Arabidopsis thaliana: one gene and its partners. The protein of the gene in region 3 interacts with the protein of the main gene of each other region in a pairwise test. Each region holds a gene or a part of one and is shown on either strand. Other genes may lie near its edges. The genes, in order: HAB2, HAI3, PYL7 and HAB1.

What was found.
Region 1: the proteins of PYL7 (region 3) and HAB2 interact in binary tests that used the Arabidopsis thaliana proteins (3 or more experiments, as listed by UniProt).
Region 2: the proteins of PYL7 (region 3) and HAI3 interact in binary tests that used the Arabidopsis thaliana proteins (3 or more experiments, as listed by UniProt).
Region 4: the proteins of PYL7 (region 3) and HAB1 interact in binary tests that used the Arabidopsis thaliana proteins (3 or more experiments, as listed by UniProt).

What each region holds. Positions count from the first base shown.
Region 1 is NC_003070.9:6,031,141-6,039,900, forward strand, and holds HAB2 (homology to ABI2), read left to right. Parts: upstream 1-3,129; 5' UTR 3,130-3,776; coding exon 3,777-4,520; intron 4,521-4,718; coding exon 4,719-5,069; intron 5,070-5,164; coding exon 5,165-5,270; intron 5,271-5,464; coding exon 5,465-5,799; 3' UTR 5,800-6,258; downstream 6,259-8,760. Other genes in the region: AT1G17540 (kinase with adenine nucleotide alpha hydrolases-like domain-containing protein), read right to left, coding at 19-96, 201-257, 339-522, 613-864, 954-1,075, 1,175-1,272, 1,345-1,501; AT1G17545 (Protein phosphatase 2C family protein), read left to right, coding at 1,969-1,984, 2,167-2,369, 2,448-2,768; HLL (Ribosomal protein L14p/L23e family protein), read right to left, coding at 6,495-6,959, 7,065-7,156, 7,401-7,434; MYA1 (myosin 1), read left to right, coding at 8,313-8,315, 8,695-8,760. UniProt on the Arabidopsis thaliana protein: Key component and repressor of the abscisic acid (ABA) signaling pathway that regulates numerous ABA responses, such as stomatal closure, seed germination and inhibition of vegetative growth.
Region 2 is NC_003071.7:12,605,592-12,612,874, reverse strand, and holds HAI3 (highly ABA-induced PP2C protein 3), read right to left. Parts: upstream 4,201-7,283; 5' UTR 4,021-4,200; coding exon 3,652-4,020; intron 3,564-3,651; coding exon 3,246-3,563; intron 3,153-3,245; coding exon 2,751-3,152; 3' UTR 2,525-2,750; downstream 1-2,524. Other genes in the region: SMO2-2 (sterol 4-alpha-methyl-oxidase 2-2), read left to right, coding at 76-105, 735-872, 1,063-1,208, 1,375-1,494, 1,590-1,802, 1,862-1,978, 2,063-2,117; AT2G29370 (NAD(P)-binding Rossmann-fold superfamily protein), read right to left, coding at 5,512-5,694, 5,785-5,891, 5,970-6,186, 6,293-6,500, 6,725-6,816.
Region 3 is NC_003075.7:443,922-450,938, forward strand, and holds PYL7 (PYR1-like 7), read left to right. Parts: upstream 1-3,056; 5' UTR 3,057-3,258; coding exon 3,259-3,408; exon of another isoform or gene 3,409-3,632; coding exon 3,633-3,848; intron 3,849-3,918; coding exon 3,919-4,188; 3' UTR 4,189-4,414; downstream 4,415-7,017. Other genes in the region: AT4G01020 (helicase domain-containing protein / IBR domain-containing protein / zinc finger protein-like protein), read left to right, coding at 1-1,122; AT4G01023 (RING/U-box superfamily protein), read left to right, coding at 1,571-1,626, 1,922-2,258, 2,344-2,455, 2,537-2,799; AT4G01030 (pentatricopeptide (PPR) repeat-containing protein), read right to left, coding at 4,415-6,721. UniProt on the Arabidopsis thaliana protein: Receptor for abscisic acid (ABA) required for ABA-mediated responses such as stomatal closure and germination inhibition. Inhibits the activity of group-A protein phosphatases type 2C (PP2Cs) when activated by ABA.
Region 4 is NC_003070.9:27,385,965-27,394,941, reverse strand, and holds HAB1 (HYPERSENSITIVE TO ABA1), read right to left. Parts: upstream 4,995-8,977; 5' UTR 4,695-4,994; intron 4,304-4,694; 5' UTR 3,945-4,303; coding exon 3,198-3,944; intron 3,087-3,197; coding exon 2,739-3,086; intron 2,655-2,738; coding exon 2,549-2,654; coding exon of another isoform or gene 2,529-2,548; exon of another isoform or gene 2,426-2,528; coding exon 2,091-2,425; 3' UTR 1,615-2,090; downstream 1-1,614. Other genes in the region: AT1G72790 (hydroxyproline-rich glycoprotein family protein), read right to left, coding at 1-94; AT1G72760 (Protein kinase superfamily protein), read left to right, coding at 6,641-6,821, 6,901-6,992, 7,094-7,218, 7,307-7,492, 7,587-7,803, 7,890-7,925, 8,008-8,097, 8,170-8,544 and 1 more. UniProt on the Arabidopsis thaliana protein: Key component and repressor of the abscisic acid (ABA) signaling pathway that regulates numerous ABA responses, such as stomatal closure, seed germination and inhibition of vegetative growth. Confers enhanced sensitivity to drought.

The DNA of each region.
Region 1 (8,760 bases), on a different chromosome or scaffold from region 3:
TGGAAGTAAGTATCTTACACTTTCTCTGGACATGGAAGCATTAAACTGCTGCAATTCGAATCTCAATCTTCTCACTTCTGCTTCAAGATTTTGATTCTGATCATAGTCATGCACAAAGAACACAAACATCTCAGAATCATGCATCTGACACTCAGCATAACCGAAACACTATATCTACTTTTCTGAAACATTAATTTTACCTGGTGTTCAGTGATATTGCCCCCAGATAAGCTTTCCTCTCCATCAGTTATCTCAGACTACAGATTCGAAAAAAAAATGTCAACGCCAGGCAAATAGGTGGTAAGAATATCGATTTGAAACGTGATGGGAATACTAACCATGGAAGAGTGTGAGCTTCCTCCATATGTGGATCGTCCTAGGATGCTGTAGAAGCTAGCATTTGATTCAGCACTGTGATCGCTGGGAAATTCATTACTAAGCTCTGACATAGAACTCCTATACAAAGATGGCTTGTAATGAGGTGTAGGTGGAGATAATTCTCCGTTCAATGCAGGAGATGACCTGCAAGATTGGCAAACCCAATGACTACTATGAAGCAAAAAAGGCATTCATTCACAAGACAACCGGATAAAATTTGAGTTCATTAATTACCTTCCGGATTCACTGGAAGTGGAACTTGTTGGGCCAGGATCAGACATCATTGAGGGATGTTTTGAAGGATGAGGAGGGTGTTGAGGAGCTTGAGGTGTCTGAGGACCTTGAGGCGTGTGAGGACCTTGAGGTGTCTGAGGCCGACTCGCTGATCTGCTTGTTAAGAGCTTCCCTTTAGACACAATGAAGACAGCACATGTATCTGGTGTTGTTTTAAGCAGAGTCGTTGGCACATCTACGCTCTTAAACTTCCTGATTAAGACCATAAATCACAGAGAGTTATAGGATTTAGCATTCAGATTAAGATTACAGTTTAGGTTATATGAGAGAAAGAAAGAGACTTGAGGAAAGAATTTCGAGCAGAGGCTCCAATGACTATATTTGAAATGGAATTGTTGGTGATGTAGTCAACAATTGCACTCGAGATGTCAATATCGTGAAGAAGAACCTCCGTTGCTATAATCTGAGAGAAAATATATAATTAATGAGGTCGGTGAGAGCTATGTGTATATATATATATATATGTGATTGTTGTAAGGAGAAAGAGAGGTTGATATCTGACCCCTTTCCGAGCACAGAATCCTCTAAAGGGAAGGAAGAACTGATGCGCCTCTTCTTGGTTGTCATGTGGTGCTTCTGTGTTTTCTCCTGCCCCAAATCCTGTTTCAAGAGTTTTCATTAGATTGATGGATTGATAACAATGATGATGATGATGATGATGCCATTACGTACTCAGTTTGGTTTGAACATGGAGAAGGATACAGTTTGGAGAATCGATGATGATATTCTCAACAGCCCATTTCAAAGCGTGTTGGCTGTTCTTATCTTTATCAATGGCTATGGCGGTAACTGCTTTGCTGTCTTTTCCTTTGAGTCTTCTTGCAGCCATTGTTTCTCAGCCCTCGAGATGATTGCTGGAAACTTTTGCTTCTGGAGAAACTAGAAAGACATTGTGGTACGGTCTTTCAATTACCCTCAGAAGGAGGAAATAAGGAGACCGAATGATAATGAAAATGATAACAAGGAATTAAGAAGAGAAGAGGAGAGGAGAGCTGTTTTGTTTGTTGAGAAAATTTAAACTTATAATGGTTTTGGCACTTTGCTAAAATTAGAAGGTTTTTCTTTTCTCCAACAATCTAAACAGTCATAACGAACAGAGAGGCAGACAAAAAGAGGATTTTTTTAATTTTAGTTGACGACTTATCTTTAAAGGATATTCCATATCATATCTTGTAGACAAAAAGAGGATTTTTTATTTTTAGATTTGTGTAATGGCATCTTATATTGATATATATGTAAACTAGATAAATTTGGAATTATAGGCAGTCTTGATCTTTTAGAAGAAAGAAGAAGACCATGAGGAAATCCAAAGGTTGAAATTAGTTTTATAATTGTTTCGACGAACGTGTTAAATATCTTGGGGTAACCTGTTTGGTTTTGAAAGGGCAAAAGGGTTTGAGTTTGAAGGACTTTGTCTTTTGTGTGTGATTCATGTCGCTGATGAGGAGGACCTTTGATATTTCAAAGAAACCATATGGAGTATATAATATATAGCTAATAATGATTTTCGTATAACAAACAGCCGTGTACAAGCGAGTGTGGAATTTAATAATAGTTGTGGACGCTACAATGGAAGTGGAATAGAGGATCATGGGCGAGTTCTTGCTACGTCCATTATCCTGAATGATGATGCGGTTCCCACAACACAAGTCCTTATTACTACAAGTCATCATGATAATGTAGCAAAGAGGAAGGAGGTGGAGTGTCTATGAGCTAGAGTGTATACCTCTTTGGGGCACTGTGTCAATCTGCGGTGAAATGGAGGATGCTGTTAGAGCTTTATCTCATTTTTCAAACTACCTATCAGAATGCTTATGTGTGATCATGAAGGGATAATAAGTCCAACGCTCACATGTCTCACTAGTCACTTCTTCGGAATTTATGATGGCCACAGAAGAAGCAGACCTGTTTCTGGTTCTGTTTCTTCTGATGATAGGATGGTTCTTCAGGCTGTTTCCCCTGAGACCGTCGGATCAACTGCTGTTGTTGCTTTGGTTTGCTCATCACATATCATAGTTTCCAACTGTGGTGGTTCAAGAGTGGTTTTACTCCGCGGCAAAGAATCCATGCCTTTATCAGTTGATCAGAAAGTATAAAAGCTGAGACAGAGCTAATGAAGTTTCTTACCTTAATGTAAACAAGTGGACGCTAGAGCCCATATAAGTGACGCTGACTGGGCCTTAATGTAGGCCCATTTCAAACTTTGGTCTCCGAGAAAAGTCTTTCGTTGTCTATTTTTTAACCACGTTATGATAACACTACATGTGTCATGAGATGCATGAACATATGTCATGAACATACTTTCAATCTTGGATCAAAAAACTAAATTAGAAGAATAAACAGAAGACTTGACCTTTAAGAGGGAAGGACACGCGTCATCTATGTTGCCATTATTGAATAGATTAATAAATTAGTTTTATAATTGATTGGAGCAACGTGTTAATAATGAAGGTCGTTGTCACATAAAGAAACTTGGGATTCCGTGGAGTGCTTATAATTTTTCTAATTTTATTTTTTGGGTAAAAACCTCATTAGATCCAGGAGAACCCATGTTTCGTTTCGTTTTGGAAAGATAAGAGAGATAAAGGTTTCGACTTTTTTAGGTTTTTCTGTGTGTTTTGTGATTCATTTCGCTGATTGATATCAATTCTCTCTGTTTGTTGTCCCTTCTCTTCAATTTCACCTGACTTTTGTTTTTGTTTTGGATAAAGTTTTCACCTTTGTGTCTTCTCTCTGCTCTCTTGTGTGATCTATCTGAAAAAGGCTGATTTTTTTTTTGTGGGTTTCTAAATTAGGGTTTGTGTGAGTTTATTGTCTTTCTGATTCGATGAAGATCAAGAGTTATAGAGGATCGTTAGAGTGATCAAAATCCCACGAATTCACAAAGGATCCGTCTTCATAGATCCGTCAGATCTGTTCAGCGGAGGTACATACTTCTTCGTCATTCACTGCTTTCTGGATTAGTTGGTGAGAATAAACGGCTGGTGGGTCTCGGTGGGAAGCTGAATTGGATGTAGAGTTCATCAGACTATAGCTTAGAGAAGAAAATGAAGTTTTTTGAATCGTTTTGCTCCAGTTGAGGTTTGGAAGCTGCATACCAGCTCATGGAAGAGATTTCACCTGCAGTTGCACTTACTTTGGGTTTAGCTAATACGATGTGTGACTCTGGAATCTCATCTACTTTCGATATCTCCGAGCTGGAGAATGTTACTGATGCAGCTGACATGTTGTGTAATCAGAAAAGACAAAGATATAGTAATGGAGTGGTGGATTGTATTATGGGAAGTGTTTCAGAAGAGAAGACTTTATCTGAAGTGAGAAGTTTGTCTTCTGATTTTAGTGTAACTGTCCAGGAATCAGAAGAAGATGAGCCATTAGTATCTGATGCGACTATTATTAGCGAAGGTTTAATAGTTGTGGACGCTAGGTCTGAGATAAGTTTGCCAGATACAGTTGAAACTGATAACGGGCGAGTTCTTGCTACGGCCATTATCCTAAACGAGACAACCATAGAACAGGTTCCCACTGCAGAAGTCCTTATTGCGAGTCTGAATCACGATGTGAATATGGAGGTGGCAACTTCTGAGGTAGTCATTAGGTTACCTGAAGAAAATCCTAATGTAGCAAGAGGAAGCAGGAGTGTTTATGAACTAGAGTGTATACCTCTTTGGGGCACGATTTCAATTTGCGGTGGAAGATCTGAAATGGAGGATGCTGTTAGAGCTTTACCTCATTTTCTCAAAATACCCATCAAAATGCTTATGGGGGATCATGAAGGGATGAGTCCAAGTCTCCCATATCTCACTAGTCACTTCTTTGGTGTATATGATGGCCACGGAGGCGCTCAGGTATGCTGTAGTTCGTAAATCCTTATACTGATTTTAGCAGTAGAAAGTTAATTCAACTATGAACCCGGAAGATACATGAGTTTATGTTTTGTTGACGTAGGTTGTATGTATATATGATAAAGGGTTTGCTGGAAACGGGATTCTTTGCAGGTTGTTATGTAATATATGACGGCTTTGGTGGAAATCGGATTCTTGCAGGTTGCTGACTATTGCCATGATAGAATCCACTCTGCTTTGGCTGAAGAAATCGAACGGATTAAAGAGGAATTGTGTAGGAGGAACACTGGCGAGGGTAGGCAGGTCCAGTGGGAGAAAGTCTTTGTAGATTGTTACCTAAAAGTCGATGATGAGGTTAAAGGGAAAATCAACAGACCTGTTGTTGGTTCTTCTGATAGGATGGTTCTTGAAGCTGTTTCCCCTGAAACCGTTGGATCGACTGCTGTGGTTGCTTTGGTTTGTTCATCGCATATAATAGTCTCAAACTGTGGTGACTCAAGAGCAGTTTTACTCCGAGGCAAAGACTCCATGCCTTTATCAGTTGATCACAAAGTAAAAAATCTTCTCTTTCCCTCTAAAATAATTTAACACAATCTGAGAAAGTTTCTTATTTCTAATTCATGAAATTTCTTACCCTTTCTCTGCAGCCAGATAGAGAGGATGAGTATGCACGAATAGAGAAAGCTGGAGGAAAAGTTATACAATGGCAAGGCGCTCGTGTTTCTGGCGTTCTTGCCATGTCCAGGTCCATCGGTAGGTCAAACTTGCACTTATGTCTTCCATCTTGCCTAGTGACAGAAATATGAAGAGAGTTTTATAGGTCAAAATTATCGATAAATTAAACATTCAGTAACCTTATTTAGAGATGAGGATCATTACTACCTGTTACAGTCTCTGCAAAATCATGAGATCTCCTGAAAGTGGGTTTCAATCTGCATCGTTTTCAGGTGATCAATATCTGGAGCCATTTGTAATACCAGATCCCGAAGTGACGTTTATGCCACGAGCTAGAGAAGACGAGTGTCTAATATTGGCCAGTGATGGACTTTGGGACGTAATGAGTAACCAAGAAGCTTGCGATTTTGCGAGGAGGCGGATCTTGGCTTGGCACAAGAAGAATGGAGCATTGCCTTTAGCTGAGAGAGGTGTAGGAGAAGACCAAGCGTGTCAAGCTGCGGCTGAATATCTCTCCAAACTCGCTATTCAAATGGGAAGCAAAGACAATATCTCAATCATAGTGATCGACTTGAAAGCTCAAAGAAAGTTCAAGACCAGATCTTGAAACAGTGTATGCTCGAGCTCTTACACTATTATAATTTTATTATTTCTTATTTATTGAAAAAATTTCCACAAGTTTACATAAAAATAAGAAGTGAAATGTTGGGGGGAAGAAGAATTAAGACCTTGATGCATAGCTGAAGTCCATTCCTTTTTCTCATGGACTTGAATGTGTATGTTTGTTATGTATAAGAAGAATAGAGAAGAAATGTTTTTACTTTGGAGTCTTGTAGGTGGATATGTTGTTGTAATATTGGAGATGTGGCTTAAGGAATTGTAACTGAAATTTATGTCACATTCACCTTAATACTTTTCTGTAATCTATTATATATAAATACTTGTTGTGAAAGAGTTATTATTGTCTTTTCTATTGTTATTGTTATACAACAGGTAATATTGATTCCAAAGTGTTTAATGAGGGATGCTGTATCAAACATGAAAACTAAGTGAAGGGTTTGGAGAAGGATGGTTGTTTAAAGCTATTTCCCCTGCTTTTTTTACTAAGAGAGTAGAGTTTAACAATTAAAAGAAACCTAAATAAGAGATCATAATTGGTACGTTAAGGTTTCATAATTCATTAGAATTAACAAAAATAATGAGTTGGATAGTTGAAGAATCAACAGAAACCCAAGTGATGAATGGATCAAAGAGAGTCACATAAAGGAGATCATAACTGATGTTTTAGTGTGGTGTATTGTCTCAAACAATGTGCTGAGCCAAAGAAAGGATCTTGAGCTGTTTCCTGAGGCGCATCTCGTGCGGGACAGGACCAAACACTCGGGTACCAGTCGGTTGGTTGTACTCCATTTTCCTCTTGGAACCATGTGAATTATTCTGCCCTTTCTTTTCCTTAATGCCAACAACTACAATGGCATTGTCATCAAACTTGACTTGGCTTCCATCAGCACGTCCTTTAGGCATCGCAGCACGCACAACCACACCGTACACGACCATCCCTTTCTTCACTTTACCTTTTGGGATAGCGTCTTTCTTTACTTTTTTTTGAACAATTGGGTTAGCTTCTTTCACTGAACCAACAATGATATCGCCAAGTCTTGCTCCTTTCTTACCTCTCAGGGATTGAATGCACATCACCTCTTTAGCACACGAGTTATCCACGCATTTGAGAATCGTCCCCATTTGAATGAATGTCCTATGTTGTTGCTGTGAATTGGAAATCATCAGGACACACAATTCACAGGTTATACCCCACGAATGCATATGAAGAAAGTTTCATCAAGGACGTATATTTGCGAAAAGAGGCTTGACCTGAGAGAGGATGCTTCCATTCATCATTCCATTGGAGGAGGAATTCATCAAACCAGAGAAAGCATTGCAAAGACCTCCAAGCAATGAACGTCCTACTCATATTGTCGATGAATCATATAACGACATCACCAACAATTAGTGACATTCACAACAAGAACAAAAAAGTTTTAATCTTGAGTCTGCATTTCATGAACCAAAGCAAAGTCCATGACATATCACAAACCCAAAAACTCAAAGCTCATTTCGAAACTTATACTAAATCAATGTTGCAAAAAATCTAATTTTTAAAGAACCAAACTTTATCGAATATAATAATATTAAGAGATGAAAATGTACCTTTGGAGAGCTTGGAAGCTAAAGCTGTCGCCATTTCTGCAATTCAAAAGTTTCGATCTTTAGTGTCGCAGAGAGTGAATGAATCTTGCGATTGCACAAAGACACCAGATTTAGGGTTTAACGTCACACACTCGCTGTCGCAGCGATCATTTGGGCTTGTAATGATTTTACTCATGGATTAAATTATATAGTAAAAAAGTGGTGACGTTGTCAAAAGTAGGCGTGCCGGAGTGGTTATCGGGCATGACTAGAAATCATGTGGGCTTTGCCCGCGCAGGTTCGAATCCTGCCGCCTACGTTTTTCCTTTTTTTTCGTATTTACCTTATTTTCCTACATTTTAAAACCAGGGGCCATAACATTTTTTCCACATGTACTATAACATTTGTTTATCACAAAATCTGAAATTCTTAATTAACAAAAATAAACAATGGTGATGCCCTAATAACAAACATTTCTTTCTTCTTTTTTTTTGCTACGAACTTTTTACTTTTGTTGATTGTTCATGCATTTACAAAGACAAAATCCAAAGTTTCTTAATGTTATGAAAAATTCCTAAATCAAGAAGTTAAACGGCTGAGAAGAGGTTGATCAAGTGGAACAATTCACCGATGCCGTCCATTTTGAAGCTAGCACTGGGACCCACTAGTAATCTGTATCAGACAAGAGACAAAATAAAACCCCCCAAATGGCTTCTCCAAGCGGAGCTCCAACGAAACGCCTTTTTTTTTGAAACTCTCCACCGCGATAAGAGAGAGAGATTACCAAATTCTCACCGGAGAAGAAAAAAGGGCTTTCCTTTCCTGAGATTTCCGGTGAAAAGTCATTGACTTTATCACTCTCAAGTCTCTCCACAAGTTGATTGATTCTGCTCTAATCTCCTCATCTGGGGTCTTTCCCCTCTTGCTATTCAAATGGTAAATTCAAATATATCTCTATACCATTTTATGTTTCTAAGAGATATCTCGGTCTCTTTGCTCAACTGTTTATTTGAAAACTGAAAACCTTGCTTGTTTGTTTCGTTAATGTTGTTGTTGCGTTTGCTTGCTTTACCCCTTTTTGTTTCCTGTATGGAGACGCTAATTCTTGATCTATGGTTGTTTTTACTTCTGAAAGGTTTTGGTTTGACTATGTCTAGCTCAGTTCTAGAAGCTTGCTCTTTGCCTGAATTAAAATCTCGTTTATATAATTTTGCCTAAAGCTGTAAAATAGATGTTATGTGCCCCTTGAACCTGTAAACTCTTTTAGAGGCAATGTATGTTTTTGATGTTGTTAAATGAAATGCAATGGTTGCAGGCTGCTCCAGTCATAATTGTGGGTTCACATGTGTGGGTTGAAGATCCACATTTGGCATGGATAGAT
Region 2 (7,283 bases), on a different chromosome or scaffold from region 3:
CTTTCTCTTTCTCTCACACTCTCTGCCTATCTCCGCCGCGGAGATCCATCGTGTTTTCTACTTCTGTTGGTATCCATGGATTCTCTCGTTGAATCCGGTTGGAAGGTACTTCGTATTCCTCTATCTCGTCGCGTTCCTTTGTATGCGATTCCTACGTTTTTTTTTTTTGTTTTGTTTTCAGAGATTGAATCGTGTTTTTTGTTTCTCGGTCTCTGGCGACTTGAGTGTACTGCATTTATGATACAAGTGTAGGTACGGGATTAGTATCTGCCGTGTTAGGTTGATTTTGTGTTTGTCGTCTGTGGTCCATCGTATTGTATTGTTGTGGTCCCTTTATGTTGAGATTGAATTGGTTTCGTGTCGATTGCGTTGTGGTTTCAGATCTGGATTTGACTGTTCTAGTTACAGATTATTACTGATTTCGTATGTGATCTCTGTTTGTGCTTGTATTTTTTTTTGGAATTTGAGTGGGATTTATGTATTGTTGTTGGAGCTTGGACTAGCTTAGAGGATCTGTGATTGTGATACGTGTTGATAAGCAATAGGTTTTCCTTGAACGTCTTCTTAACTTGCTTTTCTGCGTGAGTGACTGGATGGATGGTGTCAATGATATACAATTGCCTTCAGTTTTCGTGGAATTGAACAAATTTTATCTCCCTTTGGCAATCATGTTTAGCTCTTTAGTTTGACAGTTCTAGCTGTGACACTGACCCTTCTTTGTGGCGATGATGCAGTACCTTGTTACGCATTTCAGTGACTTTCAACTGGCGTGTATTGGGAGTTTTATACTTCATGAAAGCGTGTTTTTCTTGTCTGGACTCCCTTACATTTTCCTAGAAAGGACTGGTTTTCTGAGCAACTACAAAATTCAGGTTTGTCTTTTCTTCTCATGATTCAGTGGTCTTCTAACTAATAGCTTTGTGTGTCTGTTCAAATATAAACTGAATGGAAAGATATCACCAAGTTGTCAGTGTTCTCATTTCCCCAATGGTAATGTCAAAGTGATAACTGGTTTAGCTTGTCTTCTAGATTTATCAAGTACTCTTGTTTGGTCTTTTGCAGACCAAAAGTAATACTCCTGAAGCCCAGGGAAAATGCATTGCTCGACTATTACTTTACCATTGCTGCGTAAACTTGCCCCTCATGATGGCGTCGTATCCTGTATTCAGATTCATGGGCATGGAAAGCAGTTTTCCTCTGCCGTCCTGGTATTATCAGGTTCTTTAGTGCTGAAAGCTTTTTTTGCCTTTGGGTTCTGATGTTAAACTCTTCCAATGGGCAATATATATAAAATGTCAGTGTTGAGCTGCATGAGAAGAACCTGCATTATGTTTGATCTGGTTTATGAAACTATATCTGGTGACGCTCTTGCAGGAAAGTGGTGTCTGCCCAGATCTTATTCTACTTCATCATTGAGGATTTTGTATTCTATTGGGGTCACAGGATCTTGCATACTAAATGGCTCTACAAGAACGTGCACAGTGTGCATCATGAGTAAGCTATCAGTACTCACCATCTTTTTTGTGCTTGACAATGTTAGTTCACTCATGGTCCTCAATAAACAATCTTATGGTATTACTTATATACAGGTACGCGACACCGTTTGGTTTGACATCAGAATATGCTCATCCCGCTGAAATTCTGTTCCTTGGTTTTGCTACCATTGTTGGTCCGGCTCTCACCGGGCCTCACCTGATCACCCTTTGGTTATGGATGATGCTCAGAGTTATTGAGACAGTTGAGGCACATTGTGGTTATCATTTCCCATGGAGCCCCTCGAATTTTCTTCCTCTATACGGCGGGTAAGATAAGACTTCTAACCTGTGATTGCCTTGAAAGAGCAACACCTTAAACCTAACAGATCTTTAATATTAATGTGGGAATCATTTGCTTACAGTGCTGACTTCCATGACTACCATCATCGATTACTCTACACAAAGTCTGGCAACTACTCATCAACGTTTGTTTACATGGACTGGTAAATTATTGAACTCTGTTTCTTACTTTAACAGAAGTCATAACTATAATAAACATGTAAATATGTTTATCTATGTTACTTCAGGATCTTTGGCACCGATAAAGGTTACAGAAAACTTAAGGCCCTAAAAGAAACCTGACAACAAACAAACGTGAAATTCGATTCCCGAGAGAGGTCTTGTTCTCAAAAAACCTTCTTTCTTTTGTTTTGTCTCTACCATTTCCTCAACTTTAGTCATAAGAACATCATTATTTGCTACAATTTGGGTTGTACAATCAAAGCTGCTAGTCTGAAGTCGATTCGATGTTGAAATTTATACGTGACCTCGTTTCTATTGGACTTGTTGTTACTACTGCTTACTGTTTTTCTTATTCTTTAGATACTGCTAATACTCATAATTGCATTTAGAACCTATGATCTACTCTCATGTCTTTGCCTAGCGGCAGAGACTAAGTACCTCTTAAAGTATCTTAATGCCTAAAAGTAAAAGGTATAGTATAGTCTGACAATCTTTTTTAAAGCAAAATGCTTTTACATGTCGACCTTCTTAATTTGATTTGATTTAAGATTATAAGCATACACGAAACAGGATTAGGGTTGACAAGAATAATTCTTATCATTTCTATTAATTAACCCTTTTTCGGGGTTTCCATAAAATCGGGTTAATTTTGTATACAACCAACGTATTCCAAGAATAACCAAAAAGCAAAACTGATATAGAAAGTTAAAGCAAAATTGTCTTCCTCTTCGACTAGTGTCCACTTACGTGTCCTTATCTTCTGAGATCAATCACAACGACACTGACGTTGTCACTACTGTTCCTTGCCAACGCCAGCTTTGTTAGCAATACTGACGCTTCCGTACAAGCCTTGTCCGAAATCGCCGGATCCTCATTATCTTGTCTTCTCCCACCACCACGGAGACACATACGCGCTACAGAGCAGGCGGTCTCGTTTGACACAACATCCCATAAACCATCACTAGCTAGTATGAGGCAGTCATCGTCTCTCCTGTCCGTTATGGTTACCTCCGGCTCGCAACTCACGTAAGGTTTCAAATAGTTGTCTCCTATTGCTCGTGACATTGCTAAGACTCCGAGAACTCTTGGACAGTCCCAATATATGACTCGTCCACCAGCTCCTTCGATTCGATCCAATTCGTCTGGCCGATCAGGCTGTGTTTCATTACAAAGAACACAATCTCCAAGTTAATCCACAAATCCAATCATTGCTTAAATGAAACTGAACATGTTTTGAACGGAACTGACCTTGTGATCGGTTGATAAAGGGACTGGTTTCCCATTGCGGCAGAGAACTGCTCTGGAATCGCCACAATTGGCGACAACGATCTTATCTGGCGTAATGACTGAGACAACAGCGGTTGATCCGACGGAATCACAAGCCGGTGTTTGTAGATCACACTTGCAATTTGCAGTCACGACGGAATCACCCCACGATACAACTTCCTTATCCATGCGTGTGAAGCTACGCTCCATCGTCGTTTTCCATTCTTCTTCATCTTCCATATCTGAACTTAGTTCTTCTTGCACCAGCTTGTGAAGCCTCTCTCTACACCTTGCTGCAACCTAAGGAAAAAAAAAAGATTTCGTATCAGCTAAAACTGAAAACATAGAATTTCGGAAAACGTAAGAATGCATGGTAACGGAGTCGTACGTGGGAACAACCATGGCCGTCATACACACCAAAGTAGTGTTGAGGAAATTCCGAATTCTTCGGAGAAGAAAATGAAGGATGAATTGCCACCGCATCTTCCATCTCTCTTCTTCTACCGCACACCGAAGAAACACCGTATCTTGGACTGGATACGTCGACATTTTGGTCAGAGAAATCCTCCCGAGAGCTTCGAGGAATTGAAGAGTATCTCGTAGCTAAAGCCTCCTGTTTACTACGCTTACAATTCTTCTCCCAATCTTCATGCATCACCGTTTGGAATCTCGGCCTCCGCCGTGAATGTGCCGGCGTTGATTCATAAACCGACGACGGACATGCGTCGGTCACTACTTCGTAACATATCTCGGCCATATCCGGGGAAAAAAACCTTAAACTTTGATGTCTTCAAATGGATTTTGCTCTGTATTTCTGATCAAGAAGAACAAAACTCTTTCTTAGATGTTTCAAGAAATGTTTTCTTTTTTGATGAACTCTTTCAAGAACTGGTGATTCCTGTTTTGGTTGCTTCACTGGTTAATAAAAATGCTCGAAAACCATTCAATTTGAGAAATAATGTCATTACACGTTACTTGCATTCTCTATTTTATACACAAAACCTGCCTCTTCAGAAACAATTTTAAATTCTTTCTATAAAAAAAGTAATCCACGTAAGGCGTCAGTATCGAGTGCGAGATTCGTGGTCCAATCAAATTGAGACGGCACGGATGACGGATCATAGGAAGTTTCCTTTCGCGCCACGATGCTTTTCCCCGCAAGGTAGGTTTTGTTTTCTGTATTTAAATAACTAGAGGAATTTCATTACGTTAGTTTTCACATTTGATTACATGAATAACCTAAGTTTAGGTATAAATCAGTGTTTACTTTCAAAACCTAACAAGTTTAGTGCTAATAATTTATGTTTGTCCCTAGACAGTAAACACGTTAACAAAGAAAACCTTAATAAACTTATATCTGAATTTTTATTATTATTGTCTTGAGAGTCCAGAGAATCATCGGAAATATAATATGTATGACTTATATGACAGTAATCAGCTATGTTGTGATGGCAGTCTGAACAATTATTAAACAAATTTATCATCGACAAAGCAATTTGAATTCTCATCGTCCAAATATCCAAGAAATGCGATAAAGTTTTATATACCCAAGAAGATTAAATAACAAGTTACATATATAGTTTGTTTTTGAATTTAGAAAATTTAAGGAATATTTTGTTTACATGTCTATTATTATGAGTCCTTGAATATGATATATGAGTATGTTTCCAACGACATGTCTTTTAGTTTAGTTGATATATAGAAGAAACTTGTTTTGTGCTATGCGTGAGAATAATAATAATAATAAATTTATATCAAATATATATATATATATATATATAATTATGAAGATAATTCTTTCTTTGTTTTGTGTTATGCGTGAGAATAATAATAATAAATTTATATAAATTAAAAAAAATTATGAACATAATCTTTACTCCTTTAGCAAAAGTAATCTTTTTAGGCTTTTAGCCATAACCCCCTAAAGATAGGGATACTAGAGTTGAAAATCGTACGGTCATCATTACATGACTATATAATCATATATCATAAGTAGAATATATACAATAATTATTTTATATATCAAAAGTCACAATACGATTGGAAACGAACAAACATCAAATGTGAACACAAGTAACTTCTTATCCGATAAGATAAAAGATTGAGTTCTTCGTCCAAACATTAGAAGGCATGAACGGAGTGAGCTCCCTCAACATAAGTTACATATAAAACTTGTATGAATTAATATGCAGTGAAACCACTAATTAATCACATAAATTTAAGCATGAATATATGCATATATACGTGTTTAAGGCAAAGAGAAGCCGTTAATAGTGAAACCTCCATCAACGCAAATGGTTTGACCTGTTATATAAGAAGCTGCGGGAAGACATAGAAATGCAACAAGCGATGATACTTCATTTGCCTCTCCAACACGTCTCAATGGTGTCACACTCTCCACCTTTTCTTTTACATCTTTATCACCGAGGAACTGAAACATTTTCACATAAACTTCGTAAGAAATAGTTAAACCATTTTTTCATACTATAAATGAAATGTATTTTCTTATTCATTGTCTTACATCTTTAGTTGACGGAGTTGTAATGAACCATGGACAAACAGAATTAGCCCTTATATTATCACTCGCCCACTCGCATGCTAAATTTCTCGCCAGCTGATTCATGGCTCCTAGAATGCGTATACATTTATTTAAGTCGCGATAGAAGCAAAGAATCATAAATTGTTCGAGTATGCGTATAATTATACCTTTGGTTGCTCCATAGATTGATGTATTACCCAAATTTACAACTCCAGCCACGGAAGACATGAGCACAATGTTCCCTGAACCAGAGGCTTTCAATAAAGGATGCGCGAGTTGCGAGAAATGGAAAGTTGACTCCAGATTTGTAGCTATTATAAATGAGAACTCTTCTGCTGTACACTCAGTCGTCGGCTTTAGTACACCTATTCCCACATTGGGTACCTATACAAACGAAGCAAACAAAATTCAACATGATTTTGGTCATTGTCGATCCAAGCTCATAGACGAGGAGGAGGAGAAGCTTATATATATACACACACACACTTACGAGGATGCTGAGTTTTCCTTGGAAGAGAGAGGAAACAGTTTCCATGAGTTTCTCTCGCTGGTCACGAGAAGAAACATCGCAAACAGAAGTGGTGACTTGTAACCCTTTTGCTTGCCATTCACGTAAGCTTTCTTGAAGCTGAGTTTCGTCTCTGGCACATGTGTGAACTCTTGCTCCCAACATGGCTAGTTCCTCCACCACAGCTTTTCTATTTATACATCAATATGAATTTATACATATCATTAAGCCTTTGATCTTTTCAGGGGTTGATTTGATTAAACATAGAAATACTATCAAAAGATCCACATAAGTCTATGATTGAGCCGTATTAACAAATAAAACGAAAGTCTATACATGATTGAAATCAGAGCTCAGTTTCGGTACTGAAATTATAGGGAAGTAAGTAATTAAGGTAGAAAAATTGGGACTGACCCGAGGCCTTTAGATCCACCGGTAACAAGAGCAGTCATGCCTTCAAGACTCCATTTAGGTTTGTCTCTCAAGCTTTCCCCTCTCTTTGCCATTTTTGGTTATCAGCCACAGAGCAGATATCTATTCATGGAGATTCTTATTTGTAACTCGGTATAGGAAAAATTATAGACCGTTTATACATATTATAATATCACACGTAACCATGCAAGTGTGTTGTAAATGGGGACAAAATATCGGATTCGACATCATTATTGGATGGTTGGTTGTACCAGTCCAGTCGGTTGAGTATTTAAAACTTCATAATTTTATTAGAACTAAATACAAAGTTCATATTTGAGAGTGGTAAAAAATGAATGTACAATATAAAAAACGAAAAGGATAAATAATAATTAGACATATGCTTAAACCTTCCAATTTACAGGTTTTTTTAGATGTCAACTGTCATTATAAATTCCAAAGTATCTGTGTTTGGATATATTTTGAAGTCATATACAAACTATTTAAATAATAAAAAAGGCACACTTAGCCTTCGTTTCTTCATTTTCTATACAATCATTTT
Region 3 (7,017 bases):
AGAGTCGTGCAGCATCTTATGTCCAGAGATGGTATTAATCTGATGCGGAAGATCCAACAGGAGACAGAAACTTACATTCTATTAGATAGGCACAATCTCACAGTACGCATTTGTGGAACAAGTGAGAAAATTGCCAAGGCAGAACAAGAACTGGTTCAGTCACTTATGGATTATCATGAGAGCAAGCAACTTGAAATCCACCTCCGAGGTCCTGAGATCCGTCCTGACCTCATGAAGGAAGTTGTGAAGCGGTTTGGTCCGGAGCTCCAAGGTATCAAAGAAAAGGTGCATGGTGTGGATCTCAAGCTCAATACCCGGTACCATGTTATTCAGGTTCATGGGAGCAAAGAAATGAGGCAGGAAGTACAAAAGATGGTCAATGAACTTGCACGAGAAAAGAGTGCACTGGGTGAAAAACCAGATGAGATTGAACTTGAATGCCCCATTTGCTTGTCTGAAGTTGATGATGGCTACTCTCTTGAAGGATGTTCACACCTCTTCTGCAAAGCTTGTTTGTTGGAGCAATTTGAGGCATCGATGAGAAACTTTGACGCATTCCCAATACTTTGTTCTCACATAGACTGTGGAGCTCCAATAGTAGTCGCTGATATGAGAGCCCTCTTATCACAAGAGAAGCTCGATGAACTCATCAGTGCATCCTTGTCCGCTTTTGTAACATCCAGTGATGGAAAGTTGAGGTTTTGCTCCACACCTGATTGCCCTTCCATCTACCGTGTAGCTGGACCTCAAGAATCCGGTGAGCCATTCATCTGTGGAGCATGTCACTCAGAAACATGCACAAGGTGTCACCTCGAGTATCACCCGTTAATCACTTGTGAAAGGTACAAAAAGTTCAAGGAGAATCCGGACTTGTCGCTTAAGGACTGGGCAAAAGGGAAGGACGTAAAGGAGTGTCCGATTTGCAAGTCGACGATAGAGAAGACTGATGGGTGTAACCATCTGCAGTGCCGGTGTGGAAAGCACATTTGTTGGACCTGCTTAGACGTCTTCACTCAGGCAGAACCTTGTTATGCCCATTTAAGGACAATTCATGGTGGAATCGGATTAGTCGAGTTAGGTGTCCCAGAGCACCCTGTTGCCCAGCCTGTTCACAGGCTTTGAAACCGGACTGGACCCATGTATCTATATCCTGTAACATCTGGTTTGCTTAATGTGTACATATATGTGAACATAGTGTAGTTCGGTATAGTACCTTCTTTAACCAATTGAATGAACCGATCATATTCTAATCCGGATGCCAAATAAACTAAAGATTGTTGTAAATGAAAGACTTGGGACTTGACTCGCTACATCACTGATTACGCGTAAATGTCTACAGAGAGTTTACTAAGTTGAAAGAAAACTACTTCCTAACATACAGAGACATCGCCATTAATGGCCTTAACTTAAGAGTCAAAAAAACATTTGATGGGCCTACCCTTAATTAAAAGCCCAATTCGATATTCGAATCGAACCCACCGGCCTAACTAAACTGTTCAGTGTCCCCAAATCTTTTTGCAACTTCTTTCTTCTTCATATTCTTCTCACCGTGAAGGCGTCGTCACCGCCGATGTTATTATCTCCGGCGATGTTTTCTGATCATCACTGCTTTACTCTTACTGCGAGGTTGGTTATTTTCAAATCTTCTTCTCTCCGTTCTTTCTTTCGAAGTCAGAAACTTTGCCGCCATTTTCAGTAAAAGGGTTGATTCTACATTCCCTAGAATCATCTAATAACTAGGGTTTTCATTAGGTTACGTATTGGTTAAAATTAGTTGAAATCATGTTTCTTATTTCTCTTTTCGAACTAAATTTGGTAATCAGATCTCTAGAGTGTATGATTTGTCATAACATCTAATCGAAATTAGAATCCGTATATGTTTCATTCAGAGAATAAATCCTGACTTGTTAATTTGATATAGAATGTCAGATTCTGATGAAGCTAAAACGTCGGAGGAAGAATCTCAACTTGCTGAGCAAGAAACAGAGACTCAAGAAGGTGAAATGACTAAAAACTTAAAGAAAAGAGATCTTGATGCAGTAGAAGATGAAGATTCGAATAACGAAAGCTCCAGATTAGAGAAACTAGAGAAGAAGATAAAAAAAGAAACAGCGAGGAAGCTTGAAACTGACTTTGTGCTAACAGGGGAAGAGGATGATGATGCATTGCCCTTAGCCTGTTCCATTTGCCAAAACCCATTCTTGGATCCTGTTGTCACCAACTGCAACCATTACTTCTGCGACAAGTGTGCTCTAAAGGTAATCTTTTCCTTACAACAAGTTTCGTAATTTCTGAAAACACACTCAAAACAGATTTTCCTTGTTATTTTTTTTCATAATGCAGCATCACACTGAGAACGATACTTGTTTTGTGTGTAACGAGCCAACTCTAGGGCTTTTCGACACAGCCGTGGAGATCAAGGAAAGAATAGAGGAAGAACGTGAGAAAGCCAGAGGTTTGTTAAAAACGCAAAACTCTCTGTTTTGACACCAAAAACCTACTCTTACAAAACTCGCTCGGTGATGTCTCTTTGTAGCCATGGTAAAGGAAGTGACAGCAATGTTAGAAAAGGCATCGACAATGGCGGATGACGCCAAGGGCGTAGCGCAAAAGGTTGTAAAAATGGTGGAGGAGATTGAAACAATGGTGGAAAAAGTGGCGGCTATGGCCACAAAGGCGGGAGAAACGGCGACAATGGCGGCAGATATGGTGAAAGAAGCTGAGGAGACGATGGAAACAGCTAAAGCTAATATGTCCAAAGCCTTTGTGGTAATGAAGTCGGTGAATTGGAACGTGTAAATCGGGTCAAAACAGAGTTTTATTGTGATCTCATGCTGACATCAGCTACAATCTTTATCTAATAAGATAGATTCTCACAAGATTCTTTTATCTATCTACTTTTTAGAGAAGATGAGATCATACTTCGGAGATAGATAGGTGTCGTAAAAATTGGGAAGCTTACTTGGCAGGAGAAGAGAGATATACACACGTGCTTAAAGTCAACAGCTAATCCAAAAAGGTAGACGACAAACCAGTTAAACTAAGACACGTAATCTATCTTAAAGATTTGTCGGTTCATCGTAAATCCGTTGGTGGATTAATATATGTCGGTGTCTTCGTTGATTTTCTTAGCCTAACCAACCAAACATAAATAAAAATCGAAGCTTTACTTTGTTTGCTTCTATTATATCCACTTCCAACAAGATTCCTCAAAAGGAAAGAAGAGAAAGAAGATAAGAGATATCTGGTTGGTCGGAGATGGAGATGATCGGAGGAGACGATACAGATACAGAGATGTACGGAGCTCTAGTGACGGCACAGTCCTTAAGGTTGCGTCATCTTCACCACTGCAGAGAGAACCAGTGTACCTCTGTTCTCGTCAAATACATTCAAGCTCCTGTTCATCTTGTACGCTCTTCTATTCTCTCATCCTCTGTTTTTCTTTCTCTGTTTTCTTTATGTACTTTGTTGAAGTTAATTCTGTCTGATTCACCGGGAAAATGAAATTTCGCCGGATTTAGGGTTCCCGATCTTTCTATTTTTGTTTGCAAATTCTCGTTTTTTTTTTAGTTTACTTGTTGGTCTCTCTTAGTCTTAAAGCTAAGGATAGTGAATATACATATATGATTCAGGTTTGGTCACTGGTGCGGAGATTTGATCAGCCGCAGAAATACAAACCATTTATAAGCAGATGCACTGTAAATGGTGATCCTGAGATCGGTTGTCTCAGAGAAGTAAATGTCAAATCTGGTCTTCCAGCAACCACCAGTACAGAGAGATTGGAACAGCTTGATGATGAAGAACACATCCTCGGTATCAACATCATTGGTGGTGATCATAGACTTAAGGTGACTAAATCCAAATCTCATAGTATTCAGAAACATTAGCGGTTGCTATAATGGTTATTGTTTTCTGCAGAATTACTCTTCGATCTTGACTGTGCATCCGGAGATGATTGATGGAAGGTCAGGAACTATGGTGATGGAGTCTTTTGTTGTGGATGTTCCTCAAGGCAACACCAAAGATGATACATGTTACTTCGTGGAATCACTCATAAAGTGTAACCTCAAATCCTTGGCTTGTGTCTCTGAAAGATTGGCTGCTCAAGACATTACCAATTCCATCGCAACTTTCTGTAACGCTTCCAATGGATACAGAGAGAAGAATCATACAGAAACCAACCTTTGAAGATTTGGCTAGATTAGTCCCACGAACAAACTCAGTGAAGGAAATTTAGATTCATAGAAGCACGTGTGATCATGCTTCTCTGCTGCTTTACTCAGATCAGCTCCATGGGCCATTTTCGAGCATGCAGTCAAAGTTTTGATGTAATTTGTTTTCTGGTGTTTGTTGGACAGTGTCTGTATTTACGCACCATTGTTAGAAAAAACAGAGCTAGGTAGTATCTATATTATCACCAAGAGTCGTTGCAGGAACATTTTCCGTCTCTGAAATGATGAACCCTTGCCCCTTCTTGTAAAACAATCTCACGGTTTCTCAAAACCGACATGTATTTGGCTACGGTGTGGCTATCAGAACATATATTCGTGTTTTTGACCACTCTTATAGGAGCTAAGCCTTTCTTCTTGATAAGGCCATACGTCATTGCTAACTTCTCTGTATGTCCCATAAGCAGCTTCTCTTTCTCTGAATCACTTATGTCTTGGTGTATACAGCTTGTGTCTGGCACATAACCTGATTTCTTCATCTCAGAGACTAATTTGTACAGCTCAAAGTATATATCTCCTTCATCAGGATGTGTTTTTCCCTCCGCATAGAAGATGTGAACCGTTTGATCTATCTGAATCCAGCTCCACAGATCCTGGACTCTCACCCTGTTATTCCTCATTAAGTTCCGTATACGTTCAACATCTTCCCATCTGTTCAAATTACTGTACAAGTTTATCATCATCATGTAGTTAGCTGAATTGTGTGGTTCTAGTACTTGAAGCCTCTTCCAAGCGATTTCCGCGAGTTCTAGGTCTCTATGAATCTTACAAGATGAAAGAAAAGCACCCCAAATAGTTGCATCGGGTTTTAATGACATTGTTTGAATGAAGTCCCAGGCTTCATCAAGATAACCCGATCTCCCGAGCAGATCTACCATGCAAGAGCAGTGTTCGATGGTCGGGATTATACCATAACGAGACCTCATAAGATCAAAGTATTTCCACCCTTCTTGGACAAGACCTGAGTTCTTACAGACAGACAAGACAGAGGTAAACGTTATAGCATCTGGTTCCATGCCCGCTTCAAGCATCACACTGAAAGCCGCGATCCCTTCTTCGCCTCGCCCAAACATGGCATAACCCATGAGCATACAGTTCCAAGAAGCTAGCGATTTGTTCTTAATGCCCCAGAAAATCTCAATCGCACTTTGCAGATCCCCTGATTTTCCATACATATCTACTAGTGCAGTTGCAACATATGCATCGCAGATCAAATTTTTCCTCAAACAGAAACCGTGAACCTCTTTGCCACTGTGTAGTAGACTTAAGCAACCTAATATCTTAAGCAAGGTGGACATAGTTGCTGCGTTCGGACCAACACCTTCTTCCTGCATTTTAATGAAAACTTTGAGAGCATTCCTGAAGTTTCCATTTTTGGAACATCCTGAAAAAATGGCTGTCCATGAAACCACGTTAGGGGCCACACCTTTCTCCTTCATCTTCCCTATCACATCTAATGCCTTCTCAGGTTTCCCCAAAGTCGCATACCCAGAAGCAAGACTGTTCCATGTAATAGCATCAGGTTTGATCCCTTCCTTCTCCATTCTAATCATCAAAGCTTCAGCATCCTTTAGAAGACAAGCGTACGAAAGTCCCGAGACGAGTGAATTCCAAGCAACAATGTTCTTCGCATCCATCATATCAAAAACCATCCGGGCGTAAGGCAAGTAGCCAGTTTTAATATACATGTCGATCAAGGTGGTTTCTACATACACATCGTACCAAAGCTGATTTCTTAATATGTATCCGTGGATCGCTTTCCCAAGTTTAAGATGCCCCGGTTCAGCTACAGCTTGAAGAAGACTACTAATTGAGCTCGTGCTTGGCTTCAGACCAGCAATTTGCATTCTCTTCAATACAGCAATGGCATCTTTGGATAAGCCTTTAGAAGCATAACCTGACAAAAGAGAGTTCCATGTCACTATATCTGGCTTCAGACCACATATCTCCATCTCGTCCAGGAGACCGATAGCATCATCTACATAACCAAGTTTCGTATAACTCGATAAAATCGAGTTCCACGAAGACAAATTCCGGTCTTTCATCGAGTTAAAAACTTTCCTGGATAATTCAAGCTTGCCATTCCTCGAATACATGACAATCAAAGAGTTACACATAGACACATTTGATTCAAGCCCGAGTCTCAGAACATACCCATGAATCTGTCTCCCTTCTGCAAAACCTTCCTTATTGCTACAAACTTGCAAAAGCTTAACCATTGTGCTATCATAAGCTTTAGCACCAGAAAACTGCATCTCTCTGAAAAGTTCCACAGCCTTTTCCCAATTCCCACTCCGCAAGTTTACCATTACGATCTCGTTCCATGCAAGATCATCTCTTTTAGGCATTTCATCGAATAACTTGTTAGCAAAACCCAAACTCACACATCTTCCATAAAAACCCATCGACGCAGAAACCACTCGTGTGTCTGAATTATCAAGCCCTCTCTTGATCAAACCACCATGGATAGTTAAACCCAGAAACCGATACATTAGAACAGCACAAATTCTCAAAACCATAGCGAGAACTACTTCATCAAAATTTACTCCTTTGTTCTGTAGCTGAACAAATTCCTCTAAGACCCTATACTTTTCTACTCCGAAATTCTCAGCCTTTTCCAAAAAATCCCTCCATGAAACTTGATTCCGAGGGAACCCCATGAAGAACACAGTACTAGCATATCCAAATTCTTGAAATTCAAGGTAACGAGTGATCAAGCTCTTAGCGATGAACTCCAATTCGAATCGATCGAATAACTTCATCATCCGAGCATGAGTAGCTTTAACAG
Region 4 (8,977 bases), on a different chromosome or scaffold from region 3:
GGCCACCGAGACTTGCAGTGCGGCGGAAGTAAGTGTTATTGCGGCGTGATTGAAGCCAAAACGGCGTAGACGCGTCTCCATCATCTTCTTCCATACTCTTTCTATTATTTGGCTTTTGATTAGAAAGACAACTTTTAGTTTAAGAGTGGTTGGCTTACGATGCTGTAATGTGTTTGCTTTTATGCTTTTGCTTGGATTGATATTTGTTTTTTAAAATGCTTGGGGACTTGGATTTGGTCATTTTTATTTGTTTTTTTTTCTTTCTGTGGATTCTTACTTTAATTTACACATTTTTTACAACAAAAAATATGTCTTTGGAGTATTTTAGAGATTTTTTATAGGAGACAAGCAATCGGATAATTGACGTATTTAGTTGAATATCTATGTCAAATTCATCAATTTGCATATATATTTATTTATTACATGAAAATACATTGCGCATTTTACGTAGAGGATATCTGAATTAATTGTATAATGTTCAAATATGTACTAGTTGACTATATACAACTTTACTCGGTACATCTGACCAGTTCTTGAGTTTGAGTCTCGGCAACACAACAGTATCTAACTCCCTAGTCCTAAATGTATGTTTCACAATGATTAGTTGTATAGATAGATATTGCAATTTTCACAAACTATCCATATTACCTGATAATTTGATGTCCACAAACTCTGAAAATCTTACATTTTTTTAATTCTGAATTTTGAACTTGTAAAGAAAAAGGTTCTAGTATCTTAACCATACTCTAGACAAATGACATTTACACCCAAATTTTTTTTTTATAGAATTGTCAAATCTTGATCTTTTAAAATCCGAACCAAACTTTGGTCATACGGTCATGCCTAAGAGAAGGTTCAATTGACACATGATTTTTTTGGGGGAATTTTTTATTTTTATTTTAATAACTTGTTAGACAAGCTGGAAAATGGTGGTATTTGCTTGTGAAAGTTGGAAATGGGAAATACAAAGAAAGGCCTACTAATACAGCTGGATTACATGAAGCAAATACAGATTGGTACGTCAAATAATCAAAATTGTTCAACGGAATCATATGTCTAACGTGTTAATAAACACGTTTTCTATGTGAAGCTGAGGCCGTGATTACTAATTAGTCTTTTAATAATTATATGAGAGCCGGTGTTGTCGTGGCTTTTACAAATGGCCAGGCCAAACCGTCAAAGGCAACATACTATAATCTAATCAAGTCTTGTTATCTTGATAACTTATCTAAAAACGATAAACTTTCTCTCACAAGCTAGATTTTATGTGGTGCCAATGATTAACAGCTTTCTAAGTTTGATTTAAATACACTTACGGTTTCACACGTCACTTCCACATTTGTAGGTATGAGGTTGATTTCTATTTCTACTCAATTTAAGAAAAGAAATATTAACATTTCGTAAAGACTCTAAAATGTTAGATGATTAAGGTAAGTTATGGAAAATGTGATGATAACAGAAAAAAAAATGAAAAACGTGAACGGCAGGATTCGAACCTGCGCGGGCAAAGCCCACATGATTTCTAGTCATGCCCGATAACCACTCCGGCACGTCCACCTTTTGCTAAGTGTATTGCTTTATCAATACTTAACATCAAAATAAAAATCGACCTGTGGTTAAACCCCCAATAAACTCTCATCTCACCGTTAAGTTATAGAACAGCGAAGAACACAACATGAAAAGACAAATGCAAGAAGGTTAATGTGACATAGTTTCAATTACAATTTCATTTGCCACATCTCTCAAACTATTACAACATATTCAACTATTTCAATACCCCAAAAAAAAAAAGCATTTCTCTGCCTATTTCTTCTTATACATACGAATTCAAGTACCATGAGAAAAAAAGGAATGTACTTATAATTAGCTATGCATCATCTTCTTAATCTTCAGTCTTTAGTCTTTACTTCTCCTCCCCAACCCGCATTTCCATTTTTTTTCTTTATTTTTTCTCCCTTCTAACAATATTGAGTAATTAACATGTAAAAACCTGTCGAAATTAGATCCTTAACGATCTAAATTATACGAAAACTCGAAACTTACCCCCAGTAAAAAAAAAAGTAAGTAAGCGTACTGCTTGTAATTAAGCTTCAGGTTCTGGTCTTGAACTTTCTTTGAGCTTTCAAGTCAATCACAATGATGGAGATGTTGTCTTTACTTCCTTTTTGTAGAGCAAGCATTGAGAGGTAGTCAGCTGCGGCTTGGCAAGCTGGATCTATTCCTTTGCCTCTCTCTGCTAGAGGCGGTGCACCGTTCTTCTTGTGCCACATCAATATCCGTCTCCTTGCTATTTCGCAGACTTCTTGGTTGTTCATTACATCCCAAAGACCGTCACTGGCTAGTATGAGACACTCGTCTTCTCTTGACCGAGGCATGAATGTCACTTCCGGTTCTGGGATCACATATGGCTTCAGATATCTGTCACCTGCATAGTTCCAGAGGAGGAAAGAAACCGGAGGATCTAATGTTTCATGTAGGGGAGTAATTACATTATCAAGCCACGTTTGTGTGATGTGCATTACTGGTCATCAAAAGAAGCAATGCTTACCGATGGACCTAGACATGGCGAGAACACCAAAAACACGTGCGCCTTGCCATTGTATAACTTTGCCTCCAGCATTTTCTATTCTTGCATATTCATCCTCTCTATCTGGCTGCAGAAAAATGGAAGGAGGTAAGAAAACACTTTTATCAACTTTGTAAGTTAGATTGGGGAAAGAAAAGGAAGTTCATTTTACTTTGTGATCAACTGACAAGGGCATGGCTTCTTTGCCACGGAATAAAACCGCCCTCGAATCACCGCAGTTAGAAACTACTATATGTGATGAGCAAACCAAGGCAACAACAGCAGTTGATCCTACGGTCTCAGACGCAACAGCCTCAAGAACCTTATCAGAAGAACCAACAACGGCTCTACCAATTTTTCCTTCAATCTCACCATCGACAGTTAGAAAACAACTCGTGAAGACTTTATCCCACTGCACCTGCCTACCCTCTCCTGTATTCCTCTTGCATAATTCGTCTTTTATACGTTCTATTTCTTCAGCCAAAGCAAAATGGAGTCTATCTCGGCAATAGTCAGCAACCTACAAGCCATTGTAGATTTAAAATCTATGAATTTAACCAGAACATCTCAAAGAGGTGTATAACAATCTACATTGCTAAAACAACTTACATAAAATGTGAATATAGCATACCTTATGGCCTCCATGACCATCATAAACACCGAAAAAATGACCGGTGAGGTGTGTGAGGCTTGGACTCATACCCTCATGGTCCCCCATAAGCATTTTGATGGGTAGTTTCAGAAAATGAGGTGACACGGCAAAAGCATCCTCCATCTCAGATCTATTCCCTTGAATGGAAACCGTGCCCCAAAGCGGTATACAATCTAGTTCATAAACACTTCTCCCTTTCACCAGATGATTACTATTTTCATCTGGCAATCTAATGACAACCTCCGAAGTATTGGTATCCTGATTTACACCCGCGATAAGAACTTCCGCGGTGGGAACCTGCTCAATGCTTGATTCGCCTACGATAATCGCGGTTGCAAGAACTCGCCCGTTATCTATTTCCATAGCTGTATTAGACAAGCTTAATTCAGAGCCTGCATCAACAACTAACAAGCCCTCACTTATGACAGCACTATTATCCTCCACAACAGACAATACATCGTCTTCATCAAAAACATTGGAAGACCCGCTTCTCGTATCGGATAAAGTTTTCAACAAATCCTGTTCACCTACCTCTTCCAGTTCAGAAACATCTTCCATAGTGCATTCAGTCCCTCCGTTGCAAAAGCTTTGATTTTCAGAATCAGATAACAAGTCAGCTGCATCAGTAACGTTCTTTAGCTGAGTGATCTCGACAGGTGATGATTCACACATGGTGTTGGCTGCTAAGCTAAGAGTCATTGCAACTGCGGGAGTCATCTCCTCCATGAGCTCTCCAAAATCAGAGATTTCCACACCACACCACAACAAAGCTTTAAATTTCAAAGATGGACTTAGGAGAAATCAATTGTTTTCATCTTCTTCTTCGAATACTCTAAGCAATGGTTTCATGATGTTGAAGAATCCTTGCTCCAAATAAGTTTTTGTCAGCGACCCAAATGCCGCTTTATTCATACACTAACTTAGCATAGTTAAAACGACGAATCAAGGAGAATTAAGTACCGGAGATAACCAGATCTGACGAATCTATACGACGAATTCTCCTCACTCGATTATATCACTCTCTTGATCCCAAAATCGCAACAACTTCGTCGATCTTTTCTCAAATCCTTATCTTGATTTCAACCCTATTGAGAGATCACAAAGCACTAATCAAAAACTCACGAATCATTATCCAAACGGTCATGTCAAAGAAAATTCACACAAAAACCAGAAAAAGGAGGGAAAATCAGCGAAATCAATCACAAGAAAGCCCTAAAAAATTCGAACCATTAACGTCCATAATCATATAGTAGAACATGGGTTTCCTTGGATCTAAATTAAAAAAGAAGCTTTAGCTTTACCCAGAAATAGAAAGATGAATTTAAACTTTGTTCTTAAGCAAAACTAAACACAAAGCTCAAAACAACAAGAGAGATTCGACACATAATAGCAAAAATCTTCCGATTGAAAAGCTAACTACACAGAAAAACAACATAAAAAAATCAGGAAAGAAAAAAGAAGAGAGAAAGAACTAACCAGTTGATGAATCTTTAGAAGATATTCGCATCTGCAAAAAAATTAAAATCGAACAGAAGAGAGAGAGAGAACAAAAGTAAAGATGTTCTTCTTCTTCTTCTTCTTTTTATTTTCTTCCCTCAGGATTATTTCTCGCTCGAGCTAAATTGCTTAGAGAGAGGCTCTCTCTATCAGCGAAACAAAGAGAGAGAGAAGAGAATATTGTGTGGTTTGCTTTTTCTCTCTGTTTTTTTTTATTCCTTTTTTTCTTTGGTTTTGTAATATAATTTATAGGAAAAAAGAGTATTTATTACAAAAGAGGATTAATAAAAGGACACGTATTAGTCTTTGTATCATTTTGTGAACTTTGTCCTCTTTTTTTCTTCAACTTTTTGTCCTTTTTCTTTTTTTAAGGTCGCTTCAGGCAACACCTGTCGATCAGCTAACAACAACAGATGTTATTTAATTCCTTTTTTTCCCATTTATTTATTTTCAGAACCAAAAATATGTTTACAAATGGAAATTGATTTCTTTCTCTTTCCTTTTTTTAAAAAAAAAATATATCATAAAAATTTATATAAAGTAGAAAAACACTAATTATTTCCATAAAATTTTGACATGTAATATTAACCACGAAAATTAGATATAGATAAGTGAGTATCTTAGTTGTACAATCTGACGTGTAGATAAGTGAGTATCTTAGTTGTAATTTGTATTTGATATAACTGTAAAATGAATAAATTGTATTAATAGGATCAATGAAATCTTGACACGTAATATATTGGTTCAGCAAAAATTTCCCATATATTTTATTTAAACTGATCAAGTTTTAGTTTTGAAAGCTATGAGTAAGAAATAAAGATTGGTTTTATAGTTACGAACTTGTCTATAGAACTCTCTAGGTAAGAAAGAATAACACAAAATTATTGTTATCAGTAAGAATGAATCAGCCTAAAAAAATAAAAATATTTATGTATACTTTTCGATAACGTTAAAGTACAAGTTCTCACAATCAGTGTTTAATGGAATCGTCTTAAGAGTAATAATCTTTCGAGAGACGTATAAGATATGGTGATATCGCCAAGAAGAAATAAAGATGGAAGACGACAGCCCCAGAAAATTATATTATTTGGTCGTTTACCTTTTTTTCTTTGTTCTTTTTGGATACGTAAATCAAAAAATGCAACGTGTGTTTGTTTTTTTCCAAGTCAATAATCGCAATAATTTCGATTTCTACCACCCGCCCACGTGGCTACTCTGATTGATCAGGGACGAAAATAATAAATATTTTGTTACACCTCTAGATTTTGTACTCATAAATTTCAAATTCGTAGATACATATATTGCTGTTGCATTATTATCGAAACTCAAATTAAGTAAATGTGTGTAAATTGAGATGTGTGATCATGTTTAAACATAACATTCTATTCTCTAGTCTATTTTACTCTCTTTTTTGGTTCAACCTCTAGTCTATATAAACCTAAAAGACTAAACCATATGTTTGACTAGTTTTACTAATATTTTTATCTAAAAACTTTGTTTTACTGATTAAGATAAAATAATCGATTTAATATTTTGATAATGTATAATCGAATTTTATTTTAATCGAAACGCGTACATTATAGTACAAACTAGATCTCACCAGCAACTTCCCAAAAATCACTCTCTAATTAAAGATAAGTTGAGACTTGTGGAAATTTCCATTCTTGTTTGTTTGTTTCACAAGACTGTTGAGTTGTTTGAGAAATAAACCCTCCAAAATTAGAAAAATTGTAAAACCACTAAAAGCTTCATCATCTCACAATACAATTTTCTGTTTCTTTTCATTGTTCATTGTTTCTTCTCTGAGGTTGCAAAGCCAGACAAAAGAAAAACAACACAATCGATCTTGGTTGTGGGTGTTTTGTGACAAAGAAGACATGAGATCATTTATGAGTATTATAGTTTCCTTGTGAAGCAGGTTATTCATGTTTCTTGGGAAGCAAGATTCTAACATGTCTGCAAGAAGAGTTAGAAGGACCTCGGAGGACTATGGCAGTATCACGGCGATCGCCATTGATAAGGACAAGAACAGCCAACACGCCTTGAAATGGGCCGTTGAAAATATTGTTGCTGATGCTCCACAATGTGTCCTTATCCACGTTCAACGTAAGCATCTCTCGCTCTTCTCTTCATCATTGAAACCAAAACGTCAAAGAGCCACCCTAATTAGGAGTATGTTTTGCAGTAGGAGACACAGGAGGACATTTTCATCAGGACAATCCGGACGAGGCACATGAATTCTTTCTTCCTTTCAGAGGATTCTGCGCTCGAAAAGGAGTTAGTATTAATCGATCATTTCCAATCTCCTTGCAACAACATTTCACACTTATAATGCATCAAATATGATCATGACATTCTTGTATATACACACTTTTCAGATCATAGCAAAAGAGGTTATTCTTCATGATATTGACATCTCCAATGCTATTGTCAACTACATCACCAACAATTATTACATTGCAAATCTTGTTGTTGGCGCATCTGCACGCAATTCCTTCCTTAAGTCTCTCTCCTCTTCTCTGTTTCATGCTTGGTATCATCTCAACTTTGGTTATACAAAATGCTAACATTCAATTTTTCTTTGTGATCAGAAAGTTTCAGAGTCCAGATGTACCAACCACTCTGCTTAAGACGACTCCAGAGACTTGTGCCGTCTTTGTTGTGACCAAAGGTAAGCTTTTAAAAAGCAGATCCGCGAGTCACCGTCATAAACTTTCCAGACAACAAAATCTCTCTTCTTTGTTGTACAACTCAACAAACTCCATTGACTCTGACAGGTAATCTCAACTCTCTTCTAACCATTGGCCATGGTTTTCTTTTCAACAGGATTTAGTGAAGTATGCCTTTTCATTTTGTTTACATTTTTTACAGCGCATCAATATCATCACCTGTATCTACACAAACCAACAAACCAAATTCAAATTTTTTCCAACCTAATTCACCTCGCATCTCAACACCGCAATCTATGAGTGAAATCTCTCAGTCAGAGACTGACAATGGAAGTTGTGATATGGTATCAACTGTGAGTTCTTACACCGTCTCTGATAGTTCCACTACCATCGGAAGCTCGATCTCTTCAACTTCCACGGTTAGTAGTATATCGTCACTTTCTTATAAATGTTCAGTTTCTCAGTGTTCTGACATTTCCTTCTTGGTTTTCATACTGATGCACAGGAAAGTCCACTTGTCGGAAATTACGTGGAACAACAGGTAAAGCTTTTCAGGAACATAAATTTGGTCCTGGATTTGCAGAATGTCAACATGATTTGATATGGTCTATCCTTTTTGACAGAATCAAAATCTTGAAGCAGAGGTGAGGAGACTGAGACTGGAATTGAAGCAGTTTAACAAGGACAAAGACACTACAAACCAAAAAGAAAACGTAAGATACTGTTATCTTCCATGTTGATGACAATTGTTGTGAATAATAATCATTAGATATTACATTATGTAGTCCCAAGAAACCCCATGGTCAGATGAAAAAATAGAGCTGCCTAGAGCATTGTCTGATAGGGAAACGCAGAAAACGCAGTCTGCTGCATTCCAAGCAGCTGAAATAGCAAAGCGCATAGCGAAAATGGAGAGCCAAAAGAGAAGATTACTTGAGATGCAAGCCAATTTGGACAAACAGATGATGTTCACAACGGTTTCTTACAGACGTTATAGTATCAAAGATGTTGAAGATGCAACCTATGGTTTTTCTGATGCTCTAAAGATTGGGGAAGGAGGTTATGGACCTGTTTACAAAGCTGTCCTCGATTACACTTCTGTCGCCATTAAAATCTTGAAGTCGGGTATCACAGAGGGACTGAAACAGTTCCAACAAGAGGTACTGTGTTAGTTTATATTGCTCTCCTTATTTTGCTTCTCCTTCTCCTGACTCATACATATGTTTCTTCAATAGATTGAGGTTCTTAGTAGCATGAGGCACCCTAATATGGTAATCCTTCTCGGTGCATGTCCCGAGTATGGTTGTCTTGTATATGAGTATATGGAAAATGGAACACTCGAAGATCGCCTCTTCTGCAAAAACAACACACCCCCACTTTCATGGAGAGCAAGGTTCAGAATCGCTTCTGAGATTGCCACAGGTCTTCTTTTCCTTCACCAGGCAAAACCTGAGCCCCTAGTTCACCGTGATCTGAAGCCAGCAAACATTCTACTCGATAAACATCTCACTTGCAAAATCAGTGATGTCGGTCTAGCTCGCTTGGTACCTCCTGCTGTGGCTGATACCTACAGTAACTATCACATGACTTCTG